Linked DNA regions of Kluyveromyces lactis. The protein of the gene in region 4 purifies or fractionates together with the protein of the main gene of each other region. This does not show direct contact. Links are inferred from orthologs where the notes say so. Each region holds a gene or a part of one and is shown on either strand. Other genes may lie near its edges. The genes, in order: KLLA0_D16236g, LSP1, KLLA0_F13618g and LPX2.

Region 1 (5,521 bases), on a different chromosome or scaffold from region 4:
ATTGTTCAAAGAAGGAATAGTGGAAGCGGGAGCGAGAGCGGGAGCAGAAGATTACGCATCTCCCTCTCCCTCCCTCTCTTTTGTATCATAAACTCTTTAAACTTGGGAGATGGTTGGGACACCGACTTGAGTCTTTCTGTTGGAACTGGTCCCGAAAGCACCGGAAGTGATAGCATTAACAATGCTCAAGATGAACTTGACCAAGAAAATGGCAAAGGAGAAGTACAAGAACACAGTAGAAGCTTGTGCCTTACGACATCTGTCCTTAGAACCTTCAGCAATCTTGTTTCCGGAAGTGAAACTGTCGTTAGTACAAGAACCACCACGGATACCAACGGCCAAAGCAGTGGCTGCAGAGAAGGTGAAAACCCAGTTCAAGAAGTCCAAAGAGACTAATATGATAGGCCAAGCCAAAGCTGAGATGAAGTTAGCTATCAAAGCATACAACGAGTCGAAAACGATACCGAAAACAGCAGCAAAGATAGCAAAGTTAACTCTGGAACTAGAATGGTCCTGAGTAGCAATCAAATTACCGACTAGACCGAGAACAATGATTAAAAACACAAAGTTAACACCACGAAGCGAATTGTCTAAGATTGAAAGCATTTTCTATTTTTTTTTCTTATATTAGAGTTTTGGTTTAATTTCAGCTTGAGAGATTTCTTTTACCAACTTTTTATCAAGCAAGCAATCAAATTCGAACTTAATTTATCTTTTATTGATGTAAAGACTTAAACCTTAATTGATAACAGAAGTATTATTAATTAAACAATAATAGTATTATTTTATATATTAAGTAAAAGAGTGAAGGAAAGAAGTAAAGTAAGAACCAGAAAAAATTTATAATTTGTTTCCCTTATTTATTAAAGGATAGAACCATACAATATATGTAATCATTTCCGGATTGAAATATTTCTTCCTTAAACTTTTACCCTTTATATACCTGCACTCAAAAAACTCTGTATAACTAATACCATTTAACAGAAAGAGGCAAAAACAATAACAAATGCAAAAGACAACAGTTTCTTCTCTTCTCATTACCAAGAAATGGTTTTTTTTTTTGTTTTTTTTCCGTGCTTATACTTCTTCATTCAGTTCTTTCAGAATAAAACGTAATTGCATCTGTCTCTACTAGACCCAATTGTTCTGCCGAAAGCAACCAGAGAGACCTAGAATTGAAACTGGAACCTCTGGATATCTCTCTGGATATCCCTCTGTATCGAATAGAAATAAAGAAGTGCCTCATTCATAGCTTTTAGTTTCAGTCTCTGCTCTTCCGTAGTACCTGCAATTCTAGCGGTAAGGTTTTTGTTTGTTCCAGCGTTTTCCAGTTTCATAACAAACCAAAACAAACGAACAATTGACAGCAATCTCAGACCCGGGCGCAGTATCTCAATGTCTTCTCGGCTTGAAAACAGCAAAACAAATAAAAAAAAAAAAAACTTTCTGTGATGACATGGAAAAAAAAAAGAGGGAAAACCTTGAATTCGCTCAGATGCCGGTGCAGCGACGAGTAAGAAATAGGGGAACATGCATTACCCGGTATTAGACATCGCTACGGCAGAACCATTCAGGTTTCCTGCCGAAGATGAGAAAAGCATACGTCTTTTGTTTTAGGGGAGGCAGGGTAATGTAAACAAAACCGTCCCCTGGGTCCCTCTTTTTGTTTCTTTTTTTTTTGTTAGTTTGCTTATTTCCGTTGTCCAGTGTGGGGGGGCCGAGGCCATACAAAAAATGAGTGGTTCTCCGTGCGTTTTTTGCGCTTGCTATTGCTGTTTGCTCTAAGAGCAAAATGGGATGACCTTGGCGATTTACATGCGAGAATATGAGGTCCCTTCAAAATTTCCAATGTGATATCGGTGTTACCCGGCTTTCTTTAGTTAGCCGCGTGTTACCCTGTCGGATCTCCCTTTTTTTCCTCCCTTTTCATTTATTATACCTCCTTTATATAAATAAAGGAAGGAAGTTTCTTTGCATATAAACAACGACAGCGATTAGACGCTGATCCTGATTTAGTTTGGAACGCACACAGCAGCATCCTATCCCATAGAACTCCAGTTAATAATGGTCGGTTTGAACTTGTTTAGGAAACGGAACGAAATTGACCCCTTTGCAGGGTTGCTCGATGACGCGGACCATGCCGCCGAACAGCAACAACAGCATGATCTTACCAACAGTAACAGTATTTTGAAGCGAGTTACCACGAAACAACAGCAGCACCAGGAAGAACTAGATGATAATGAGTACCATTCTCCCTTCCGTACGGCGGAAGAAACTCAACGTGCGCGTCAAGTGAGACAGGAGAAGTTCCCTACTCTGAGCCAAGGTGCGGTACAACTTGACCCGGAACAGATGGGGTACAGCGTTGTTACCGACAAGTCAGTGAAGAAGGCCAAGGATATTATTATTCCTTCTGGGTTGAAGGATACCGAGGCTGAGCAGAAGGTTAGATTGACTGCGTTGGAAAAGAAGGAGAAACAGTTACGTTATTGGAGAAAGTCTCAAAAGATTGTGGATTTAACCAAGCCACAGGAAGCAATTGAAGCGTCGGATAACTTGGACGAACTGGATGAGGTGGACCCTAGTAAGGAACCTCCCATTGAAGATGTAGCTGAAGCTCTAGAAGAAGCCGAGGCTATGGCTGAAGACGATGAAGAGGAACCAGTTGATCCGAAACGCGAGCCAAAGCCTGAGGCCGCGCTGAGGGCTTTTGAAGAAGCTGAGGCAATTGTTCAGGACGACGAGGAGCCTCCAGTGGATCCTGAAGCCGAGCCATCAGCAGCAGTTGCTGTTGAAGCTCTTGAAGAAGCAGAAGCCATTGCGCAGGGCCAAGTTCCTCCAAGAGTCCCGTTGGCTGAAGAAGAAGAACAAGAAAATCCAACCGGTGTTTACAAGGCCCCGGAAGATGATGCTAATGAATACGTCGATCCATCTCGTGAGGCTAGACCAGAATCGGCTGTAAGAGCCTTCGAAGAAGCCGAGGCTATTGTCCAGGATGACGAGGAGGAACCGGTCGATCCTAAACGCGAACCAAAACCTGAGGCCGCTGTGAGAGCGTTCGAAGAAGCCGAGGCGATTGTCCAGGACAATGAGGAGCCTCCAGTGGATCCTGAAGCCGAACCTTCCCCGGAAGAAGCTGTTGAGGCATTCCAAGAGGCCGAAGCTATCGCAACTGAGAACCCAGAAGCTATTTCTCCTCCACCAGATATCAATTCTGCCCCTCGTGTTCCATTCACACCCAGTGGCGCCAATAAGGCCGGTACTGCTGCAGCTACTTCTGGAATTGCAGCTTCAGGCTTATTTGCCCTTTTCAAACGTTCGAAGAAACCAGAGTCCTCGACCAAAGTTGCTGCAAATGCCGCTGCTGGCACCGTTGTTCCAGGCGATGATGCGCCAGTGGCCACCCCTGAAGATCCAGAGTTAATTGTCAGAACACAAGAAGGCTACGTCTCGAAGTCTGTTTACGATAAGTTGCAATACGACGAGGACCAGCACCAAGCCAAGTTGGCCCTGTACTCCAAGGAACAAGATGAAAGGTATGAAACTAAAGCCCAAGAGTACGAGGAAAAGATCCAATCAATTCAAGCTGAAATTGCTGAATTGGACGCGCAAATGGAACAGGTTAGATTGGAACATGAGGAAAAGTTGAAGTTGAAGCAAGTTGAGAAATCTCAAGCATTACTAGAAACTAACGTCAAGCACATTAACGCCAAGGGTGATCTGTACAAGCAAACTGAAGAAATCAAGAACCAAACCATCTCAGATAAAGAGGACAAAGAAGTTGCTCACCAAACTGTCCAATCTGAAATTGATGAATTGTTGTTGTTGAAAGATGAAGTTGCCAAGGAAAACCAGGAACACGAATCGAAGGTCGAAGAGTTGACAGCAGAATTGGATAATAAGACATCTGCATTGAATGAATCCTTGGCTAAGAAGGATGAAACTAATGCTGAAATTCAAGCTTTGGAAGAAGAGAAGGCCAGATTGGAACAAGAAATTAAAGAAGCTCAAGAACTTCACCAACAAAACGTCTCCAAGATCGAAAGTATCGACAACAAGGAGTACTTACCTAAGGTCAATGAAATTAATACCGAAATTTCTTCACTACTTGCTTCGTTAGGTTTAATTCAACAAGAAATTGCCAACCAAAAGGTCGAGTTTTCTAGTGTTACTAGGAGATTGGAGGAAGAGCGTAAACAACATGAAGAACAATTGCTAAAAGAAAAAGAGGAACGTGAGCGTTTAGAAAAGGAGCGTTTAGAAAAGCAACGTACCGAGTACGAAAAGCAAGCTGAAGAAGCTCGTTTGAAGCACGAAGAAGAGCTGGCTAACCTGAAGCAAACTCACGACGAGGCGCTGAAGGAGGCACAGTTGCAACGTGAAGCTGCGGCCAAACAACTTGAAGAAGAACAACAGAGACGTGAACAAGTAGAACGTGAAAGAACTCGTCTACAAGGTGAAAAGGCTATTGAAGCACAACAACGAGGTAATCCCGAAGACAAGAGACTGGAAGCTGAACACGAAGAAAAGTTGAGAAGGCAAGCAGAAGCTGCCAGTGCAGTCGAAAATGCCCTGAAGAGTAGCAACAAAAAAACGAAAGCAGCTGTTCCACCTGCAAACACCACAAATTCTTCTCTATATGACTACGAAACCGTTGAAGAAGTCATAACTGTTGATTGAATAACAAAAGAGATCTTAAAACGAAATAACATTAAACATTGGACTTTGTAATTTCTAAAATATGTCGTTTCTAATTTATATTGATTTATCATTCTACTTCTTTATCCATTAGATAAAGTTGTGCACGAAGGGGATAGCCAATGTACTCCTTGTCTTGTCCCACTTCAGTCTTTCTTGTTTGATATAAATAAAGCGGACTTTTGAGAAGTTTTTTTTTTTTTTATTTTTTGGAATGAAATTTCATGAACAATCATCGATTTTATTCAAAGTTATTCATGAAAGTAATATCTTTCATTATAATCACAGAGCTCATATAGTTATCGGAGTTTAATTGGACTTACTATATCCAAATAAGTAGTTAGAAGTTAGGCTGTGAACAGTTACTACTTTTGACTGTCCTTGACCGTATCGTCACTTTTTTCCAGCCCTTTCTATCGGTATTAAATTTACCTCTTTACAAATCATAAGGCCAATGTTGAGAATTAACGGCCAGCAAGCAATGATGCACAAGGCAGTTGCCCGTGCTTCCACCGTGCGTACATTCACAGTCTCTGCTAAGGCTATGAGCAACCCTAGATCTCCGTTACAGATCTTCCGTGAAACTTTTAAGCAGGAATGGGAGAAGTCTAAAGAATTACAAGACAATATCAAAGCTTTACAGGATGCTTCTGGTAAGTTAGGTGAGTCCGAAGCTTACAAGAAAGCTCGCGAAGCGTATGTCAAGGCTCAGAAGGGTTCTACTATTGTGGGTAAAACTTTGAAAAAGACCGGTGAAACTGTGGAAACCATTGCCTCCAAGGCATGGGATTCTGAAATTGCCAAGTCCACCAGAAAAGTTGTG
Region 2 (4,482 bases), on a different chromosome or scaffold from region 4:
TCTGATTTATCCTTGGCAGCTTTACGTTGATATACTGCTTTCTGCGCGTTGAATAGTTTAGTTGAGGATTCCATATCTGGAATGAATGCGGACACAGGTAAATCGCCTCTCAAATCGTAAAATATTCTGATGCATCGTACAAATTGGTATACCCATCGATTAATTGTAGAATTAGGTTCAGCATGAAAACTATTCAAGATGTTGGTCAAATTGTGAGGAAATGGTCCTGATTGATCGTATAACAGGAATGAGGACCTCTCTGCTTCCACAAAGTTCAAATCATTGGTCAAGGGTCCAGAGAGTATAGAATCGTGAAGTTCGATGAACTCTGCCCTCACTGATTTTCTATTGATAGGAATATTCTTTGACTTTAATGATTTTCCCACATTGTACAGTAGAACGGAATAAGGCAAGGAGGATACCTCTTCCTGTGACATATTTTTTACATCGAATGATTCGTGATATTCTGCTAGTTCAGGCCACATACGATTGAGTCTTAAATCGAAAGTGAAATGTCCATGAGAATCAATGACACAATGAGGTTCACTGCCTATAAGACGAACAAATCCCAAGTTATCGTTGGTGGATGCCATTATCAGAGGAACTGCTGAGAGTTTCATGACACGTTGTAACAACGGACCAGCCGTGCACAAACATATGACAATAGAGAAAGAGTTCCATAACTTATGTTGTGAATCAATTGGAACTGCATTCTCGTTCCAAATATGGAACGTAACATCTGGATTCATACTTTCTAACGCATCAAAACCTAAAATATCCGAGTTTGACTTGTTCACAAAATCTGATCCATTAGACGAGCCAAAAACTACAGTAATCTCATGAATACCCATGAGAGCCAAACTCTTGACACATTCTCGCATCAACAATGTCTGATTATCGTCTACAACGCACACATGAGACTGAGAAAGTAAATCCTGGCCTGAATGGCCCCAGATCATCAACTGTCGATCATAACGGTCATCCAAACCACCATTTATCTGATCAGCCATAACCTGTACCAACGCCCTTGGTCCTTGATCTTTAACACTAGTTCTAATGCAAGAGAGCCCGCCTTGATTGGAATCAAATGACGTATTTATCATGAGATGAGCTTAAAAGTTCAAGCGAATCAGTTGGATTACCAAAGTTCAAGCTAGATCAACTGCATACCGTTACCCGGACGAGTACTTCAGCATTACCCTAAAACTTCATAAGAGACTCTAAAGAGCCAACATAAGGCCGGCAATACACTGTTAGTTCGTCATTTCCTGGCCCTGTTTTTGCTACGGCTATATCATAAACCAACACCACCATCACCAGACAAAGCGGAAGCAGGAAGTACTATAATATCATCCACCTACATACGATTCTTTCCAGTCTCGAATGATAAGCCGAAAAGAAGAGTCGAACAAAAGTTTCTGAAGAAACCAACATAGAGAACCGTGCCCGCAATTTGCAAAGAAGAGAAAAATTGCGTGGCTCATGCCATGTCAATGTCCCTAGAGAAAGTAAGTGTGGGTCATGTTCTGTTTCTCTTTCTCTTTCTATGCATTTTTTTTTTTTATTTGGGAATAACTGAAAAGGGCAATAGGCAGTAAAAAAATAATCAGAGTTTCTTGGCCTGGGACAGAACCTTTTTTGCTATCTACATATAACTTTCCTCTATATAAAGTAATTGATTATCTTTCTACCTGTCTTGTTTTCTGACGGATTAATTTTAGGGGTCTTACGCAGGTATATCAAGTAAACTTCGATACATAGTTTAATCTAGTTGAATCGAAATTTTTTTTGGGCCAATTTACTCTTCTAGTGCTGCTTTTAGATTAAGAAATAGGGGAAACAGAAAATATTCGATATCAAGAAGTTAAATTAAATACCGATACTAGTCTCCAAAAATGCACAGAACTTACTCTTTGAGAAATAAGAAGGCTCCTACAGCTTCAGAGCTCCAAACTCCAGCTCCACCACAATCTACTACCAAGTCTAAGTTTTTTGGTAAGGGTTCTTTTGCCTCCAGTATCAGAAAGAATACTGCTGGTCAGTTCGGCCCATTGTTATCTAGAAAGCTATCCTCTTTAATTAAGACCGAAAAGGGTTACTTGAGAGCTTTAGAAGTTGTTGCTAGTGAACGTCGTGTTGCTGCTAAACAATTGTCTCTATGGGGTTCTGAAAATGACGATGACGTGTCTGACGTGACTGACAAGCTAGGCGTTCTTATCTATGAACTGGCTGAATTGCAAGACCAATTCATTGACAAGTATGACCAATACAGAATTACTTTGAAATCTATCAGAAACATTGAAGCTTCTGTGCAACCATCAAGAGACCGTAAGCAAAAGATTACTGATGAGATTGCTCACTTGAAGTACAAGGACCCTCAATCCACCAAGATCCCAGTTTTGGAGCAAGAATTGGTTCGTGCTGAAGCCGAATCGTTGGTTGCTGAAGCCCAATTGTCTAACATTACCAGAGAAAGATTAAAGGCTGCTTTCAATTATCAATTCGACTCTGTGAGAGAATTAGCTGAGAAATTCGCATTAATCGCTGGTTACGGTAAGGCCTTACTAGAACTATTGGACGATTCTCCAGTGACTCCTGGAGAAGCTAGAGCCGCTTACGATGGTTACGAAGCTTCAAGACAAATCATCATGGATGCCGAATCAGCTTTGGAATCCTGGACCTTGGATGTCGCTGCTATCAAGCCAACTTTGTCCTTCCACCAAACAGTCGATGATGTTTACGTCGATGAAGATGGCGAGGAAGGTGAAGCCTTAGCTGCTGAAGAAGAGTGGGCTGGTGAACATGAAGGTGGCCAAGAAGAAGAAGCTGTTGAGACTACTGAAGTTAAATAAGCTCTCGCGATCACATGCGTTAGTTTATTTTACCAATGCCGCTACACTCACTTCTTTAAAAATGTATGTGGCTAGCGTATATTGGAATGATTTATTGTAGAATCAAATACTCGTTCCTGCCGTGTACGTGCCCTCTTTAACTTTTAAAAATGAATTTTTCCAGAGAGCTCGCAATGTTACTGTGTGACAGGTAAAACGGTAGTATGTGAAGTCCGTTATACCATTGCTACTCTCATATTCTATGTAATAAAACATTTCTATATCTCTTTTAAGTAACACTAACTTCTAATATCGTGCTGAGTTAATAACAGCCATTGGAATTCGGTCGTAATATCGATCAATCTGTTTTGAATTTTCCTGCTGGCTTCTCTAGGTATGAATAAAAACGGCCAATAAATCACAGGAAATAACACTCGAAAAGTCTTTGGATTTAGTGGAAAGTTCGAGCTAGCAAGGATAAGATACGGAACAACGTGATAATTGATTCAAGTATCCTTTTTAGAAACATAAGTATATTCATTTTAAAAGAAGCAGTCAGTTAAAGTCTTAATAAGTTAAGTTAAAACAATTTACATAGCATGAAAAAATTGAAGGAGCTTCATTTACCAGGTTTTGAACCAATTGGGTAATAATTTGGGTCATTCAAATATTTCAAATCCTCGACTGGTCTTTCTGCCAATGGAGTCACACGGACATGGTGTCTTGTAGATTCAGAAGCATCGAAATCATATACACCAGCATGATACAATCTACGATTATCCCATACAACTACAGTGCCCGGCTTCCAATTAGCCCTAACTTGAGCATCATGAGCATTATCGATAACCTGATACAAAAATGCTAGAAGAGCATCTGATTCAGGTTTCTTTAGTTCGACAATTTTTCTGGTGAACACTTTGTTGATGTTAAGGACTTTCTTCTTCAAAACTGGATGGACTCTTACCACAGGATGGATAACGTCATAGATTTCATGTCTTGAAATGCGCTTGGTAGGATCAGGAGAAAAGGCATCGCCGTTTGGTGGTAACGCGTGAACGGCATGTAATCCACTCAAATATTCTTGCAAGGATGGCGACAATCTATCAAAGATTTCAATCGCATCACCAAACAAGGTATCACCGCCAGATTGAGGAGCATCAAGCACTGCAAAAAAGGTATAACCGGATGGCTGTAATTCAAATGTGATGTCTGTGTGGAAATACACAGAGGTCAAAGTTTGTTCGAAAAATTTGTCATAGTCTTCTGTTTTCACATTTTTGTAAACCACATGAATATAAGGATGACCCTCTGGAGCTGGGGAAGCGTGATGAACGTGCAATTCACCAAAATACTTCCCATACTCTTCAATGTATCCAGGACCTCTATCGACAAAGTCTTGATCTCTAAAAATAAGAACACCTCTTTCAGCAGTCAAAAGAGCTAGCTCATCCTTGCCAGCATTATCCAACTCACTAAGTTGAAGGCCCCTAATTTCAGACCCCAGTTTTGGAGTAATAGGACTGATTTCAACACCACTTGTCAACAAATGGGGAAACTTTGGATTAGCTTTCAATGCAGGATCCTCATACTTAACGAAAGAATGTGGAGGGAATTTCTCATTAGGATCCCAGCTTGGTAGATAATCTTTGTA
Region 3 (5,660 bases), on a different chromosome or scaffold from region 4:
CAAGAGTTGGAAGGTTCTTACGGTCTTTTGTGTAAGTCTACTCATTATCCAAATGAAATCATCGCCACAAGAAAGGGTTCCCCATTGTTGATCGGTGTTAAATCTGAAAAGAAATTGAAGGTTGATTTCGTCGACGTTGAATTCCCAGATTCTGAGCAGTTACCAGATTTGCCAGTTAACAACGAATGTAACTTGTTGAACGATGCTGATAGAAGTTTGCTTCCATTGGCCGGTGACGAAAGTACCTTGCGTAGATCTCAATCAAGAGCTTTCTTATCAGAAGACGGTTCTCCATCTCCAATCGAATTTTTCCTTTCCAGTGATGCTGCCTCCATTGTAAAACACACCAAGAAGGTCTTGTTCTTGGAAGACGATGATATTGCTCACATCTACGACGGTGAATTGCACATCCATAGAGCTAACAAAAAATTGACAGAATCTGCCACCAGATCCATTCAAACCCTTGAGATGGAATTGGCTCAAATTATGAAGGGTCCATACCAACATTTCATGCAAAAGGAAATTTATGAACAACCAGAATCTACTTTGAACACCATGAGAGGTAGAATAGATTTTGAACACAATCTGGTCAACTTGGGTGGTCTAAAGTCTAGATTGTCTGCCATCAGGAAAGCTCGTAGATTAATAATGATCGCCTGTGGTACTTCTTATCACTCTTGTTTAGCTACAAGAGCCATTTTCGAAGAGCTAACGGAGATTCCAGTATCAGTGGAATTAGCGTCAGATTTCTTGGATAGAAAATGCCCAATCTTTAGAGACGATGTTTGTATTTTTGTTTCCCAATCCGGTGAAACTGCTGACACCATGTTGTCCTTGAATTACTGTTTGGAAAGAGGTGCATTGACCTTGGGTATCGTGAACAGTGTTGGTTCTTCCATTTCTAGAAGTACTCACTGCGGTGTCCACATCAATGCTGGTCCAGAAATCGGTGTTGCATCAACAAAAGCTTATACATCACAATATATTGCATTAGTAATGGTGGCTCTTTCTCTATCAGACGATAGAGTCTCCAAGATCGAAAGAAGAAACGAGATCATCCAAGGTTTGAAATTGATTCCAGGTCAAATCAAAGAAGTCTTGAACGTGGAACCAAGGATCAAAGAACTTTGTGCTAAAGAATTGAAGGATCAGAAATCTTTACTTCTATTAGGTAGAGGTTACCAATTCGCAAGTGCCTTGGAAGGTGCATTGAAGATCAAAGAAATCTCTTACATGCATTCAGAAGGTGTGCTTGCTGGTGAATTGAAACACGGTGTTCTAGCATTAGTCGACGAAGATTTACCAATCATCGCTTTCGGTACCAGAGATTCCCTATTCCCAAAGGTCCTTTCCTCAATCGAACAAGTGATAGCCAGAAAGGGTCATCCAATCATTATCTGCAACGAAAACGATGAAGTTTGGCAAAACAAGGCCAAGGCCAACAATTTGATTACTTTGGAAGTTCCACAAACTGTCGACTGTCTACAAGGTCTATTGAACATTATCCCATTACAATTGACCTCATATTGGTTGGCAGTCAACAACGGTATCGACGTCGATTTCCCAAGAAACTTGGCTAAATCCGTGACTGTCGAGTAAGAAAGGCTCTATCTTTTTCTCATTTTGCGTACAGTTTATCTAATTTTTCTAGTTTGTCCGATACATTCTCCACATATATAATTAACAAACCCGTCAGATCAATTCCGTTCCCCTCCTACCTACTATTAACATTGTAACACCAATGGTAACCCTCTTGTCTCTTGTTTTCATACCTTTAGGTCCGATTTGGTCTTATTTCGGTTTCTTTTCGAATGATTGATACCTTGAGATAAAAACAGAAAAAAAAAAAGGGCAAAACATTCAAATCGAACTTTAAGTGCCGAACATCAACAGAAATAACGAAAGCAAAGGCACGTAAAATACCATTACTGTTTGTTAGAGGGCACTAGAACAGGTGTAATTCGTGTATCAGTCAGCTGAAAGTATATATTAAGTGGAATTGGTTCAAGAGAGGGATTAAAGAAGCTGCTGTTGCTTTTATAAAAAAAATGTTTCGTTCTAGAAAGTCAAGAGAATCGCGTTCTATTGATCCTGGTGCTTTGGTTGCTGCAAACACCATTGGGAAGGCACTGGTACCTTCTAAGGATTCGTTTGGGGGCCAGGTTGTAGATAAGAGTAAGATTCCCAGGTATAACAGTATAAGTGGCCGTTCCTACTCGATGGTAAACAGTCCCAAACCAAGTTCTCGTCGGAACTCTGTGAGACATGCTAGTGATACTGGAGATCGTTCTTCCAGGTATGGCTCGATGCGTTCCGTACAGAGTGGTAACAGGGTTGCTCAAAGCGATGCAGACAAGGTTTTCCATGAGTTTGGTGGTAATGAGGCCAAATATGTGCTAGGACCCAGTGGTCTGGTACGTGTTGATAATGACAATAATGAGCCTAAAATGGTATCTAGATACATTCCTAGCAGCCATGGGTTGGTCAAAGTCGAAGTTCCTTTGGAACAGTACGAGGCTGAGAGGAGAAACAGTCTTAGAAGGTCGACTTCTTTACGTGGTGGGATGACTGTAAGAAACTCACTTTCTAATAAAAGGAGTCATGCCTCTTTAAGAGCAAACTCAATTGGACATAGAACACCTTCTGGAACCCCATTGAAAAAACTTACAGAAGTTCCTACCGTTGAAGAAAAAAAAGCGGATATTACTCATTATAGGTCTTCGCCATCACCGGTGCCTAGAATCACAAAGACTGTCTATGCAACTACAGCCAAAGAAACATCAGCTCCAGTCGAAGAATTCAAACCCCCATCCTTCGGTAACGGTACTGCATTACCACAGACTCCTGAAAGAGCTATCACTAAAGATTTGATAGACTCAGCGACAGAAGAAGAACAGCCAAAAATTCATACTGATCTAAGCGTTACCAAAGAAGCTGTTGAACAAAAGATCGACCTTGATTCAAAGCAAGTGGTAGAAGAAGAACACGTTATTCTTACACATCAGAAGGAAGTTACTTCTTTGCCAGATGAAACGATTAATGCCGAGAAGGAAACTGACAAGGAATCTCTCAAAAAAGCAGAGCATAACACATCTAAAGTAGATATTCCGGATTCAAAAGAAAAGGCTCTTCCTGGCAACGATGGTGTCCAGGAAACTATAGTTGAAAAAGTGGTTGATGAAGAGGAACATCAAATTGAAGTTCAAGATCCTATCGTTGCTGAACGTCAATCAGAATCTCAACCGGAGTCCCAACCGGAGTCCCAACCGGAGACAGGCAAAAGCACCCTCGCTCAGTATATCAGGTCCGCTAATCCAGAACTCCAGAGAGTTAATGAGGAGGATGCTCTTGTTACCCCTAAGATTCCATTAGAAAAGACTCCTTCACCTATAAAATCCGCAATGAAGAAAACAAACCACAACAGCCAACAACTTCAACAACAATCTCAAGCTTCAAGCGCATATCTGTCTTTAACAACAAAGGAAAACACTAGGTTAAATGCGCAACTTTCTCACGAAAGTTTGAGAGAAACCGCCAGCAAACAACAAGCACAAAATCAATACCGAAGACAGCAACAGCAAAACCAGCAGCCTCTAGCTCCTAAGAGAAATTCTCAAAGACCGCAATCAATGATGGCTCAAAGAGTTAATGGTGATAGACGTTCTTTCATGCAGAATAATTCCGGTGTTGCTTCCCCTCGCGATGCTAGACCTAGAAGTGTCGTAGGGAAGCCGTCCAACAATGCCAAATCGCAACAAAATAGTGGACTTTACCCAAGGGAACCTCCTCAAAAGCGTTCAAGCTTCGAAAAGCAAAGACCGATGTCCACCAACCTTGGATTTAAAAACTTATCGTTGAGAGAGGATCCGCAACTCACTGACCAGTACGAGCAGCCTCAAGCCCCATTCCAACCACATCCACAACAAAGACAATCTAGAAACTCAACCCCTGTTAAAAGTGGAGTAACGTACAATGGTGTACAGTATGTCTCCGGATCAGTACCACTGCCTGCTTCCAATACCAACAATAACAAACCAAAAGCGTCGTCAATTGCTCATGGATTCAAATCAAGATTTGCCGACTCTGATTCGGACGAAGAATCCGCAAACCTACAGTTCAGCAACCAAGGGAGTCGATCTACTCAAGTTTCAAGCGAATATGAACCGGCACCTCCTCCACCCGCGCCATACAATCCTCATGCTACTTTGAGACCTCAGCCAGAGCCTCAAATAAACGCAACTCACACTACTGAGAAGAAAAAGAAGAACAACTTCAGCAGTAAACTAAAGAAGCTTTTCGGTAACAAGAAACACTGAAAAGTAGCGACTAATATAACACGAAACACATGTAATGGGCATTTATAATCCCTTTTGTATTCTAGTTACCCAAAAATTGTGATTAAGAACACTAAAAACTATCTAATGTACAATTCAAACCGAAGCTTTGTAGTAATAAATAAATAAATAAATAAAGTGAAATTAATTAAAGTCAATTTGATGATATTGAAACATCTTGATGTGATTATTGAACCACTTGGCGCAAAGAATCGCATAAATAATCAATATTACCGTCGTTAACTCCAGATAACGACATCCTGCCGTCTTCAGTTAAATAAATACCGTACCTCTCCTGCAGAATTTGAACCTGATATGGGTTTAACCCTGTGTAATAAAACATCCCATGTTGTGTTTTAAAATCAACAAGATTGGGCCAATTCAATCTCTCATGCATTTGAATTCTAACGTTCCATAGTCTATCAGACATATTCTTAACGTCTACGAACCATTGCTGCTTCAATTTTGGATTGCTTAGCACCAAGTTCGCTACACGAGACCCATATCCCGGTGGAGAAGAGTATATACCTCTTACAATCTTCTTTAGTTGAGAGTCGATGGTTGATTTGAGATCCAAGGGATTTGGTGGGACAACGACACTTAACGAACCTACACGTTCACCGTATAAGCCCATGTTCTTAGCAAACGATTGGCACACAAATAGACCGTTGGGCCATTCGTATTCTAGACACATTCTTAATAGATAAGCATCCTGTATAAGGTTCCCTGATTCCATTCCTTGGTACGCCATGTCTATTATGGGAGTTATTCCTAAATCATGGATCACTGGCAATATCTGTTGCCATTGTTCCAACGTAGGGTCCACTCCTGTTGGATTATGACAGCAAGCGTGTAACACTATAGAGGGGGGCCAGTCGGGGTCCCTAGAACTACAACTCTCCTTGAGTTCCTTGAGCCATTTATCGATACTCAATTTCCCATCCTCGTAGTACGTATAATATTTGATCTGATTGAATCCGTTCCATTGGAAAACGTTCGAATGATTAGCCCAAGATGGATTTGGTATCCATACGGTTTTCGACACAAACGTTGCCAAGAGTTTTGAAGCTACAGCTAATGCACCGGTACCACTCAAAGTTTGCACAAACGTGATTCTGTTGTTCTCCAATAATTCACTCCCGTCACTTGACTCTCGATACAAGAAATTTAACACATTGTTTTGGTAATCCTGCGACCCAGTGATAGGCAAATACGATAAATCATTATTCAGATCGAGACTCGTCTCAAGTAATGATTGGGCAGAAGCTACACTAGGGAAGGTGGTCACACGGCCCCGGTTGTCCTTATAGATCCCAACGGTCAGAT
Region 4 (5,683 bases):
TGTGCGGCATGGCAAGGTCTAGGATACGTAATCATGGTTGCTCTAGAGTATTTTCAAAGATCTGGTCATTGGCCTTTCAAGTTACCGTATACTTATCATGATGACTTAGAAAAATCTAACGATAGCTCTATAATGGAATCGAACTACATCGAAGCTTTAATTCAGAAGAAATATGTCATGCCTCCATTTTTTACCAAACATGAACGGAATCTAGTATGGGCCTCATTCGTACTAGGAAGTATAGGTGAATTGGCTTTGCTTATGTGCACTATCTTCTCAACAAACACGTATCCTAGGGTGCACAGTTCCATGGTGGGTATATTCTGTGCATTTGTCGGATTGAGTGTAATTTGTCATGTCGCACAATATATGACAATGGGCAGACACTACGCTGTCGTCCATCCTCTTACAAGTAGTGAAGATATCGGCAAAGACACAAGGTGGAATGAATGGCACGGCCATGTTTGGAACAAGTATACTATCAGTGGCTTACTAAAGGCATTTTGGGTAATAGCTGCTTTCGTTTGGGCTATTTGTTTTGCATGCTTAGAAGATAGATCAACGACTGCCTGTTTTGAATGGCTATTGGCATTTTGGTTCGGATTATATTTCATTATTGTCTCTGTTGACTGGTATATTGGCGGAAGATATACCCAGTCCAAGTATTTCCATCAAATCACAATTACGGAGAATTTGAACTATTACAAGTACAATCAGTTGAACGCACTATAACTCACTTAGTTTCTCAAGAAATTATTAATGAAGTTGTAAATATAAACTACTCGGAAGGATATTCTGAAATATAGCATAATGATAATACTAGTTAGAACTTTACAAAAAATAGAGTATATTATAGATAGAATAAACAGAACAGAATAAATTACCAGGCTTCTGGGAATTTTAAAAAGTGTTATGAGATAGAGAAAAAAATAAAGTTCATAGTGATACATAACGGTTTGTTACTTTGAAATGGCTTCAAATTATGAAGAGTTGAATCATTCTGACACTGTAATTAAAAGATCAATCAATAAAAAGAACTTTTTGATATACGTGATGAATTGGTTTTAGAGTTCAATAGTATAAAAAAATGTGAGCAGACCATGTTCACAGCTCAAATCAAAATACTTCTTTGAACAAGGACTTTCTGTTGTCCTTGGAAGTAGGCTCTTCTTTTCCACCTTCTACTTCAGAAGCATCTGACTGTTCGACTTTATTATGAACGGAGCCTTGACTAAAGCCACTAAATGATGGTTCCAGTGAAGGTTTGGTTTCTGTTGCTGTAGATTTCGGTTCAACATTTTCCTTCTTTTCGGTTGTGACAGTTGCCGTTACTGGTTTATTAGAAGGCTTTGGGGAACTTTTAAGAGGAGTTGGTTGCGTGGTCTTTGTATTCTTATTTTGATCAGATGGCTTCAAACCAAAAAATTTCTTGATAGAAGATCCTTTCTGGTCCTTATCAGATTTTTTCTTTGATTTCAATGGAGAGGTTAATCCTCCAATTGAATGCTTTTTGTGAGCAGGTGGAGAGGCAGGGACATCCGCTTTAACATTTCCAGTAACACCTTCAATTTTGGTACTTTTTGAAGAAGGTTCTGATAACTTTGGGTCAGATTGCAATTTAGTTGCTGGCTCAACTTTTTTTTGGCTAGCAAGGAATTCTCCAGATGTTGTTCCCAGGAAAGCCTTGGCCTTTTCTTCGTCAATTTTATCCTCATTCTTTACTTCAGCAACTTCTTTCATAGCGTCAATTAATTTAAGTTTTTCCCTCTTTACTTCAATTTCGGTGTTTGATAGTTCAGTTTGACGTTCGTTAATTATCGCATCTACTTCCAATTGCTTGACCCTTGCTTCTTCACTGGAAACCTTGGCTTCTTCCTTTGCTTTTTCGGCCATTATGACATAATTGGTTTCGATACCATCTTTCAACTGTTGATGGCTTTCAGACTGGAGATTTAAAGCTTCAGTCTCTGTTTCCAGTTGCTGTTGCTGTGTTTCAATTTGAGCATTTAATTCTTCTACATGAGATTTATGTTTTTCAATTGAATCACGAAGCTCCTGGATATTTTCTTCAATTTTACCCTTTTGATCCTGTAACTCCGTGTGATGGTCTTCTGCAGCAGCGAGGTCATTTTTGAATGGAACCAGTAACTCTTCCTGGTCTTTCTTAGCCTGTTCAAGTTCATTTTCATTGCTTTTTTGTAAGTCGGCACATTCTGTTGTAATCATTTCATCCTCTCTCTTTAGCTCTTCTTCATTATCCTCTTTTAATTTAGCAAGTTCCGCCTTCTTAGCTTCGAGTGCCTCTTTTAATTTAGCGACCTCACTGTCCTTCTGCGTACAAAGATTCTGGAACTTTTTGGCCAAAGTAGCTTCGATATCAGCAGTTTCCTTCTGATGATTTTCGAAAGCTTTAGCCTGTAGCAAAGAATCATTGTTTTGCTTTTCAGTTTGAATATTGACCCATTCTTCGTATTGCTGTTGGTAATCCACGCTTCTTTTTTGGATATCAATGTCCATTGCACGTTGAGCGCCGGTTCTTTGGTCAACTTCATCAAGCACTGGTGCAATGAGACCCTTCGCAATATTATCGATATCATCAGGAGCTAGCCATAAACCACCGCCCAAATTTACTTTATTGGCAGTAGCAGAAGCAGAAGAACGAGTCTTTCTTAAATTTTCCTGAGCGACACTAGCAGCAGCCCTGTTATACTCCGCGTTTCTAAAGATAGCCCTTTGAGAAGTCTCACGATCAATGGTATCCAAACGTTGTTGAGCGTTCAGTTTAGCTTTGGTTAGGACTGTTTCTGAAGTCAAGTTCTTGATAAGCCTTTTCCTTTCTTCTTCCCTCTCTCTCCAGTTCTTGTCGGTGACATCATCCGGGTTGAAATCCTTCAATGCAGCAACAGCTTTCTGTGCCCATTCAGCTGCATGAGATTCCTTTTCAGCGGATTGGATGTACTCCTTTTTGGTAGGTAAATTAGATACAATATCAGAAGTTAGAGAGAAACTTGCATCAGCAGCTTTGCCCACAGAACGATCAGTGATACCTCTCACATAAGAAACCTTTTCTGGATTAGTACGTTGATGAACACTTTCAGCAGCGTTTCTTTCAGCACCCGCCAAAACTTTAGTAATATCCATCTTTGGTGTCTTAGAGTGCAATGGCGAAGAAGAACTGGAATTGACATAGGTTACAGTAGTACTTGCTGTACTAGAGGTCCTAGACCTAGCAGCCTTGGGAGCAGCAATTGCAGCAGAAGACGCAGCAGACGAAACTACAGCACTGGCTGGTCTGGATTGGTCAGTTTTCTTTGGAGTAATGACCGCATTAGCTGCCTTCGAAGCATTTGGATTCAATAACCTTTTGTAGGCTTCGATGGTGGTCTTGTTGCTCGTTGCCAAATTGGCAGCAGTATCTGAAGCATCCTTACCATTAACCACGCCGGCCTTCAGAGACTGAGCTGGAGACTGGAACACACCGTACTTCAATTTTGCTCTGTATAGAGCCTCCTTGGATAATGGTTTACCGGCACTCTGGTAAACAGAACTTTGTTCTGCACCATTAGTATCCCTGGATTCGTCGCCAGTTACCGCAGAAACTAAAGACATTCTGTTTCTGGTAATATATCTGGGTATTTTCTTAGCTACTAATAATTCAAAGTAAAAAGCGAAAGTGTTCCTTAGACTCGTACAATTGAGCGACCAAGTAGTGTAGTTTTTTGGTTTATGTTCCTCTCAAATTTGTAAAACACAATAGGACTTGGTTCACGTTCTGATTTCGATATCAGTAATTTGCTTATCCTTTGCCCGTTTTTTGAGAAGTTTAGTATTAACTCTTCTTTCTAGTGGGAGTAAACGTAACTATGATAAACCTTTACTTGTAATTACGAACGAAATACACTTGAATTCACGTTTGTTTTATAATAAAGCAACGAAGCGAATATATGCTAAAGTGAATTGTTGATTAGAAACCCTATAATTAAGGATATATAATTTCTTGATATTGCAAAGTAAATAAACTTAAAAGAAAAAAAAATTGGCTAGAGTGACTTTTTAGGGACTCCTGGCGAAAAAAAACTGGCCAGAATAATTGAGAATAAAAAAGGAAGGAACCAAGCTGAGGTACCGCAGAAACTTATACCCTCAGTGTAGTTGGAACCCTTGCTGTTGAGCTGGTGCCTTGGTTGTCATCTTTGTTTGCCGTTTTTAAGGGGACGATTGCTATTACGAATTGTATCATTGTATGTACTGTGTTGCAGAGAAATAGTCTCAATTTGGGAACAATGTCGTAATGAAAACAGGGGAAAACTCGGCTGGTTACCCTGATATACAGTTTGTACGTTGTTTTCTGTGAACCTTCTTTGATGGTTCTTAGCAGGAAGAAAATACTCACGACGTTTTTGCTAATTATTTCATTGCAATCCCGTGCGGAGCTAAAGCATATCACAAAGGAGACATAGAGAGTTTTGCGATGGGTTAATTCAGGAATTTAATTGGACTCTCAAGTCATTAGACGGTGCTGTCCATATACCAGGGTAATCGTCAGAGATTATGGGGATTTTAGGCTCTCCTATTTATCCTCGCTTTCTCTTTTCATGTTCTTGTACGGCCGGTACAGACAAAAATGATAGAGGTACAGAATTAAGCATAATTTCCCTTTTTGGTATTATTACTTGCTTTGCAATAAACAAACAAAAATATAAGTCACGTGATTGAACTTATTCCCCAATCAGGAATAATGTAAACATCATCGAACAGCACTATCACAGTGATTGTATTCAGTTGTAGAGATGGATGGTTCTGGCTCTCTCACCAAACTTTGTTCGGTGTATGTTAACAATTCACAAGGATTGAAGTTAGATGTACGGTATCTGTTTTGTCATTCAACAATCTACAATTGAAGGGAAGTTGAGGGCATAACAAAGAGTAGGTATTAGCAAGGAAAGCTATCGATTGAATGACTCAAATATACAACTATCAAGAAAGTTTCTGGGACGAAGACGATCAAGGTGTTACCGTTCTTCTTCAGCATGTTGGAAGAGGTATATGCACCTGTGAGTTATTGCTCGATTGTTTCACTAAGAGAAGTGAGTTGGAGATGGATTATGCAAGAAGATTAGGAGCACTCAGTGCAAGAATAATGAACAATCTCGAACGATATGCGGACTACAATAATATGTCTGAATCCTTAAAATATTTCCAATCCTCCCAGCAGACAATAGCCAATGGTCATTCTAAGGCATATGAGAGGCTCAACAGGGAAAATGTCGGTACGATGAGTGATTTCTTAAAGCAATATAGAGCCAGATGGTCAACGATAACGGGAAACGTGGAAAACTTAAGGAAGTTGAAAGATGAAAAGAAGAAAGCCTTGAAATCTATAGATCAAGAATTACTCAGTGCTGAGAATAAACTGAGAGAGTATCAGCTCAACAAAGAAACTGCCTTGGGCGAATACCAAAGGAAAGAAAATGCGAGAGAATTGGAAAAATGGTCTTCGATAGTGGAAGAATCACACCGTAGGAAAACCGTCTTACATCATGAATGTAAAGCTGCTAGAGCACATTGGTTTGAGGAATGGAGACATATTAGTGGAGAATTGCAAAGTTTAGAAACACAAAGAATCCAGGTCTCTAGGGAATTACTACAACAATACGCTGATTTTACAACCCAGCCTTCGGAA

What was found.
Region 1: the proteins of LPX2 (region 4) and KLLA0_D16236g purify together in Saccharomyces cerevisiae (affinity purification with mass spectrometry; 3 studies listed by BioGRID). This does not show direct contact. The link is inferred for Kluyveromyces lactis from reciprocal best matches to the Saccharomyces cerevisiae genes EIS1 and YGR130C.
Region 2: the proteins of LPX2 (region 4) and LSP1 purify together in Saccharomyces cerevisiae (affinity purification with mass spectrometry, with the first as the bait; 3 studies listed by BioGRID). This does not show direct contact. The link is inferred for Kluyveromyces lactis from reciprocal best matches to the Saccharomyces cerevisiae genes EIS1 and LSP1.
Region 3: the proteins of LPX2 (region 4) and KLLA0_F13618g purify together in Saccharomyces cerevisiae (affinity purification with mass spectrometry; 3 studies listed by BioGRID). This does not show direct contact. The link is inferred for Kluyveromyces lactis from reciprocal best matches to the Saccharomyces cerevisiae genes EIS1 and SEG1.

Annotation. Positions count from the first base shown.
Region 1 is NC_006040.1:1,365,877-1,371,397, reverse strand, and holds KLLA0_D16236g (uncharacterized protein), read left to right. Parts: upstream 1-2,064; coding exon 2,065-4,680; downstream 4,681-5,521. Other genes in the region: KLLA0_D16280g (MARVEL domain-containing protein), read right to left, coding at 97-606; protein translocase subunit TIM44, read left to right, coding at 5,153-5,521.
Region 2 is NC_006041.1:1,271,052-1,275,533, forward strand, and holds LSP1 (lipid-binding protein LSP1), read left to right. Parts: upstream 1-1,895; coding exon 1,896-2,852; downstream 2,853-4,482. Other genes in the region: ULA1 (Ula1p), read right to left, coding at 1-1,103; KLLA0_E14433g (TauD/TfdA dioxygenase family protein), read right to left, coding at 3,451-4,482. UniProt on the Saccharomyces cerevisiae protein: Together with PIL1, main component of eisosomes, structures at the cell periphery underneath the plasma membrane that mark the site of endocytosis.
Region 3 is NC_006042.1:1,260,260-1,265,919, forward strand, and holds KLLA0_F13618g (uncharacterized protein), read left to right. Parts: upstream 1-2,048; coding exon 2,049-4,316; downstream 4,317-5,660. Other genes in the region: glutamine--fructose-6-phosphate transaminase (isomerizing) GFA1, read left to right, coding at 1-1,599; aspartate transaminase AAT1, read right to left, coding at 4,522-5,660.
Region 4 is NC_006039.1:1,066,691-1,072,373, reverse strand, and holds LPX2 (Lpx2p), read right to left. Parts: upstream 3,610-5,683; coding exon 1,117-3,609; downstream 1-1,116. Other genes in the region: SFK1 (Sfk1p), read left to right, coding at 1-732; formin-binding protein HOF1, read left to right, coding at 4,958-5,683. UniProt on the Saccharomyces cerevisiae protein: Required for normal formation of eisosomes, large cytoplasmic protein assemblies that localize to specialized domains on plasma membrane and mark the site of endocytosis.